2 linked regions of the Oryctolagus cuniculus genome follow. The protein of the gene in region 1 purifies or fractionates together with the protein of each later gene. This does not show direct contact. Links are inferred from orthologs where the notes say so. Each region holds a gene or a part of one and is shown on either strand. Other genes may lie near its edges.

Region 1 (3,500 bases):
CAGAGAGAGAGAGAGAAATTGAGAGAGTAAGGTTCCCAACTATTGGCTACTCCTCAAATCCTGCAATATCCAGGGCTGAGGTAGAACAGAAACTGGGAACTGAGAATTCAATCCAAGTCTCACATGAATGGTAGGGATACAACTACTTGAACCATCACATCCGCTTTCCAGGATCTGAATCAGCAAAATGCTGGAACAGGAACTGGAGGTGGGAACTGAATTCAGGTACTCCGATATGGGAGGAGGGTGTCTTACCTGCTATCTTAACTGCTAGGCCAAACGTCCACCCTCTCATTTACATTGTTAAACTCCTTCCATTTACATGTGTTCTTTTTAAATTTAGTGTTTAATACATGTTGCTTATCAAGCTAAATATAGTCCTTATAATTCACCTAAAATATCACTTTCATAAGTAAAGAATTCTAAAACCAAATTTGTAAGAAATAAAACTGTAACTTTTCATATATCCTTTAATAATAATTCTAATCTTCATTTACAAATGAGAAAACTAAGGCATATAGAGATTTTTCTAGAAACACCTAGAAAGTAAAATGTGGATTCAAACCCATGCCAGATAATGAGCTATTCTGTATATAAAGATATAAAAAAAGTTCAATAAAATCAAATCACCTTATTTATCAAATCACAGAAAATTGTAGTGTTGAAAACTGTGTTATACATAACACAGCTTCCCAAAGATTTCAAATACTAAGAGGGGAAAAAAAAAGACTAATTCTAGAAAAAAGCATACAACTCAGAAAAACATAATAGTATAACTTTTGAAAACTGAAGAAAACAGCACTAGAAGCAAACAAAGAAAAATTAAAAATATGAATTTATGGACATGGGTTAATTGATAATTTTTTCTTTAAAATTTTCCTTTGACAGTAAACTATTCTTATAAGAAAAAATCACATTAAAAGCTTTATGATTGACTTAAAATGTATATTTCACAAATACATTTATAATAAACAGTGAGGGTATTCAATATAGGTTTTGTTATGTTACAATTCTTGAAATACAAGAAAATCTAAGTGTTAACAATTTTGTTATTGTTATCATACATAAAGACTAACAGATTTTTAAAAGCTCTGCTAATACAGTATGTATTTTAAAAATACATATATCACTCACTTGATTGGCTAGTTGCAATTGTTCTTGAAGGTTCTTGACTGTTTCCTCATCTTTATATATGTCATTTCCTATCTCTGCAGCAAAGGGAAGGGCCTCCAATTGCTTTTCAATGGCATCCTTTAATTCACTGTGCAACCTTTGGGATAAACAATATAATAGCAATCAAAATTCCTTTCAGTAACAGTAATTACTGTTTGGGCCAATTAAATAAATATTTGGGTAAAAAGTGATTCTTTACACAAAATCATTTTTAAGTAAATTCAAATCTTACACACATTTAATCACCATTAAATACAGTACTATATGAATAAAAAATTATTTAACAAACTTAATTGAATTAAGTTGACAGAATTATCTCGAGAAAATATAATGGGGCTGGTGCTGTAGTGCAGCTGGTAAAGATGCAGGCATCCACATGGGCACTGGGTTCCAATTACAGCTGCTCCACTTCCAGTCTGGTTCCCTGGTAACATGCCTGAGAAAGCAGCTGAAGATGATCCAAGTACCTGGGCTCCTGCACTTCTCTGGGGCACCGAGAGAAAGATCCTGGCTTTTGCTGGGCTCAGTCTTGGTGGTTGTGGCTATTTTGAGAGTGAGACTGTAGATGGAAGATCTCTCTGTGTCTCTCCCTCTCCTACTGTAACTGATTTTCAAATAGAATAATTTTTTTAAAAAAAGAATAATATAATTTGCCTTAGAGAAATTTTAAATTTTCACAGATAAAATTTAAATGTTATGTTAATTAACTGAAAAACAGGACATTCAGAAAAAATTTTAAATATGATAGTTGCACTCAATTAAGTGAAAATGGTATATTAAATCTTGTAATTTATTTTCTTCACTGTGTTTCAAAAAACTCATTTGACTTCTTTTTGTTAAATTCACTTGACTTTTTAATAGTTCCAGTTAATATACAGAGTCAAACAAAATGATCACTGGTTATGAAACCAAGACTATTAGAAAGTTTATTTTTCAGCATTTATTTGCATAAGCTTGAACACAATTCCTAAAGTCGTTAATTTTAACATTAAAATAAATCAAAAATATCTAATTTTTTATTATTAAAAAAATTTACTCACACACAAAGGTACAATTTAAAAGTCTGAAAAAGTTTTAACTTAAAAATGACACATATCTAAGAGGGAAAAAAAGCCTTCTACTACAGGAAAAACTTGAAAACATTTGTTTATATTATCATAAGCAGAAAATATTACTTATAATAAACACAACTCAAGGTGAAAATCCAAGAGAAACAATATCCATCATGCTAAAATCCTTAGAGAAATACCTTTGAAACTAGAAAAAATTCCATCTTAATTTTTAGAACATATTTATCAAATATAATATTCATCAGGCCGGCGCCGCGGCTCACTAGGCTAATCCTCCGCCTAGCGGCGCCGGCACACTGGGTTCTAGTCCCGGTCGGGGCGCCGGATTCTGTCCTGGTTGTCCCTCTTCCAAGTCAGCCCTCTGCTGTGGCCAGGGAGTGCAGTGGAGGATGGCCCAGGTGCTTGGGCCCTGCACCCCATGGGAGACCAGGAAAAGCACCTGGCTCCTGGCTCCTGCCATCGGATCAGCGCAGTGCGCCGGCCGCAGCGCGCCGGCCGCGGCGGCCATTGGAGGGTGAACCAACGGCAAAGGAAGACCTTTCTCTCTGTCTCTCTCTCACTGTCCACTCTGCCTGTCAAAAATAAAAAAAATATATATATATAATATTCATCAAATATTTTAAAGTAGATGATTCATTTAGAAATACAAATTTTAATTACTCTCTAAAGGTCAGAGTTCGCTAATTATTCCCTAATTTTAAAAAATACTTAGAAGCATTAAGAATACAAAGAGTTTTATTTTTAAGTATTTAACTTATTTTTCCGATTATTTACTTAATAGAGAAAAAATGACCAATACAGACATACAACAAGAGTTTTGGAAAAGACATACCAAGCCTCAGAGAAAAGCATTATTAGTGTTGTGATGTATTTTCTAGCAAAATTTATATTTTGCATTAAAAATAGATGTCATATTGCTAATATGAATCTGCTTTTTAACTGTTATTGAAACATGTACTCTGATATTTTAAGAGTGACATAATATTTTATCACTTCCATTATATAATTACCTACATCATAATCTATCAAGTCTTATAGTTTTAAATAGTAAAATGAAATGAAAAAATTCATAAGATTAACATTTATTTAGTACAATGTACTGAAAATTAAATGTTATATATATTTACAAGAAACTTAAAACCAACAATAAATTAGCTTTTAGTGTTTTGGTTATAGAGCAATCATAATTTCCGCCCATGAATTATTAAAATCACTTTGTACAGTTTCAGCTTGAAAGGTAATTTTTAAAGTTCTTTA
Region 2 (3,500 bases), on another chromosome or scaffold:
ATTAGTTGGGAGTTGGATCAGAAGTGAAGCAGCTGGGACATGAACCAGTGCCCACATGAAATGCCAGTATCACAGTCGTCAGATTCACCTGCTATGCCATGACCCCAGCTGCAATAAATAAATCTTTTTTAAAAAATACAGTTTCAAGTTCTTTGATCAAACTGGCCACATGGTAATTCACAGAAAGTTGTTTTTAATATTTATTAATATTAGTAGCTGTCACTGATTGGAAACTTACTATTCATGATGAATTTAGCAAAAAAAATTTTTCAAAAACCACATACGCAAAATAAACTGTCACCTTCAGGTCTTGGAGCTTCTTTGTGTTTGTGGTAAACTGTCCAACATGAGCTTGCACACGTTCACACTGCTTTAGATACTCTTTGTTTCGAGTCTGAGCCCTCCGCTCAGCTTCGCATATTTCCTTGAGGTATTTCTTTAGTTTCACATACTTCAGCTTCTCCCTGGGGAAATAAAAGCGGATTTTTAAACAATGGAGTTAAAGTCTGACAAAGCTAAGGAAAAGAATTTCTTTCACAAAGCTGTTAGAGACTCAATGTTTCCTAAGATATTCTACTCAAAGCATTGAAAGCTAACGGATAGAATGTATAGACCTTTTTAGAGAAAATTAACGCCCAATCACTGTGGTGTCATAGTGGTCACATCTAGGCATAACTCTCCTGAGAAGCGTAGACAAGACCATATTAGAATGTTCACACAGTAAAGATGTACATGGATTTATTTCTCTAAATTAACTGTGATATCAAGAGCAGAGTTAGGACTGGCACTGTGGCATGGCAGGTAAAGCTGCTGCCTGCAACACCAGCATCCCAAATGGGTGCCAGTTTGTGTCCTGGCTGCTCCACTTCCGACCAGCTCCCTGTTAATGAATCTAGGAAGATGGCCCAGGTGCTTGGGTCCCTGCACCCACATGGAACACCTGGAAGAAGCTCTTGGCTCCTGGTTTTGGGCTGCTCAGCCCTGTCTGTTGCAACCATCTAGGGACTGAACCACCAGATGGGAGATCTCTTTTCCTCTCCCTCTATCTCTCCTTCTCTCCCTGTAGTTCTGACTTTCAAATAAATAAATATGAATCTTTAAAAAAAGTTAAAAATCTACTCTTAATATTAAATAAACTAGAAATATACATGTATATTATGCACTGTTTATAACAGTTTTAATAATCATTCTCATATACTCATAAACAAATGAGACAAGTAATCTTGCCTACATCAGTTTACTAAAACATCAATGAGAGTAATTATAACTTAATCACTGCACAAGGTTAATGTGTTTAAATTGTGACCAAAAGGACAAAACTATAATTTATATATCTTTTTTTAAAAAAGATTTATTTATTTATTTGAGAGCTAGAGTTATAGACAGGAAGGAAGAGACAGAGAGAGAGGTCTTCCATCTGCTGGTTCACTCTCCAAATGGCCACAACAGCCAGGGCTGGGTTGACCTGAAGCCAGGAGCCAGGAGCTTCTTCTGGGTCTCCCATGTGGATGCAGGGGCCCAAGAACTTGGGCCATCTTCCACTGCCTTCCCAGGCCCAGCTGAGAGCTGGATTGGAAGGGGAGCAGCCAGGACTAAAACCAATGCCCAATGCCCGTATGTGATGCTGGTGCCATAGGCATACGCATAGTCCACTACACCACAGCACTGCCCCTCCCTTCTCTTTCACTCTTTCTCTCTATATATAAATGTATATATATGTATCTTATTTTAAGATATTTAAGCAAAGTATCTGGAATATTACCTGTGAAATAACAAATACTAAATAATGAAAATATTTATCCCATACTAATTTTAACTAAATTCATTATTAATTTGACAATTATATTAAATTACAGGGTTTACTTTAAATTATTACACATTGGAAGTAAGAGAATTATAAAAGAACTCCAACCACACTATTAGGGCTTAAATATGTGACTGATATATATACAAAAACTGTCACCATCGTCATATCTTACCTGCAGCTATCAGACTGATTATATTCATATAGTTTCTTTTCCAGGTCCAATCTCTTCTTCTCACTACCATACAGAAAGAAAACACTTTGTAACTGATTATGTAACTATAAGCAGTCAGATTTAGACCATGACCTCTTTCAAAATCATATCTTTGGGCTTTGTGAAAAATGCCTCTCCAGTCTCTCTAGGAAGCTAAAAAACACCAGATGCATTGGAAACAATGCCATGGAAATACTCACCAGTCATCAAGGAAGTCTAAAAATCAAAACAGACTCTAATATGAAGCAACAGTACGAGATGATCCAAGTCAATAAGGAGACACAGTAGGAGAAGGCTGGGAAGTAGGTTTGTTCCTTCGGCAAATCTTTCTTAAGCACCTAAGATGAGCAAGAGGCTGCTCTCAACCTGGAGATCACCGTGGTGAGCAAGCCTCTGCCTTCGGGGGAAGCACAGGCAGTAACCAAGCTTGTGCAGACAACATGGCCCGATCTCCCAGAGTCAGTGGCATCTGGGGCCCCAACATGCCTGGACATGGAGCTTCCCAGGTGTTCTCAGTCAGACAAGCGGATGTTAGCAAAGGCTCTTTGACAGGCAATGTTGGCCTTACGTACATGTAATGAAGCTGGGTCTATGTCTACTAACTCTATCACTTCGAATGTTGGGGAAATTCTTTTTATAACTTTGTAAAGTTGTCATTATTTATTACCGACTCTGTTTCCCAGAAGCCGTCACCGATAAACATCTGTGATGACGAGGTGATGCTGGCAGAGGAGAAAGCCTGTCTTATCCCATCCACCCCAGCCTCGACAAGCAGCAAGGAAAACTGCAGCAGAGGGGCCAGCAGCAGCCAACATCAAGTGGCAGGTGAAACCGCCCCACGGGAGATCCCTGGCAGGTTCAATCACAGAGCGCTCCACTAGGACGCTTCAGTCCCACCTAAGGGACGCCAAAGTGTGACTCTAACACCAGTGAATGGTCCAAAGAGAAATCACACAGTATCTGGGAGAAGGACTGAAACAGGGATGAGGACTCCAGCAGAAGGGGCTCTCGGGCACGCCTCCTGAGGAAAAGCCGCCAGCCACACTGTCTCTGCATGAGCTCTGAATTACTCATTTGCTTCCTTTCATATTTTTTTCTATAAAAAAAAATCCCAAAAGTTACTCTGATAGCTACATTATAGGTTAAATAAATGTCTTTCGCTAACATAATCTTAAATGGAAACATCATTTAACCAAAATTCTTTCAATGGGAAAATACAGTTCAAAATCTAAACACAGAATCTTTGCTTTACAATTCTTTCCTCAGTTGAGGTCTGAACATATTAAAAAGGATAAAAGAGGAACAGCATTGTGGAGCAGCAGGTTAAGCTGCTGCCCGGAATGCCAGCCTCCCATGGGAGCGTGGGATCAAATCCCGCTGCTCCACTTCCAATCCAGCTCCCTGCTAATGCACTTGGGAAAGCAGCAGAGGCTGGTCCAAGTATGTGGACCCTTGTCACCCACGTGAGAGACATGGATTGAG

Evidence for each region.
Region 2: the proteins of SCLT1 (region 1) and KIZ purify together in Homo sapiens (co-immunoprecipitation; 3 studies listed by BioGRID and IntAct, counting the BioPlex papers as one, with this or other methods). This does not show direct contact. The link is inferred for Oryctolagus cuniculus from reciprocal best matches to the Homo sapiens genes SCLT1 and KIZ.

What each region holds. Positions count from the first base shown.
Region 1 is NC_091439.1:35,687,914-35,691,413, reverse strand, and holds part of SCLT1 (sodium channel and clathrin linker 1), read right to left. Parts: intron 1,271-3,500; coding exon 1,135-1,270; intron 1-1,134. UniProt on the Homo sapiens protein: Adapter protein that links SCN10A to clathrin. Regulates SCN10A channel activity, possibly by promoting channel internalization.
Region 2 is NC_091442.1:45,686,140-45,689,639, reverse strand, and holds part of KIZ (centrosomal protein kizuna), read right to left. Parts: intron 2,043-3,500; coding exon 1,980-2,042; intron 465-1,979; coding exon 302-464; intron 1-301. UniProt on the Homo sapiens protein: Centrosomal protein required for establishing a robust mitotic centrosome architecture that can endure the forces that converge on the centrosomes during spindle formation. Required for stabilizing the expanded pericentriolar material around the centriole.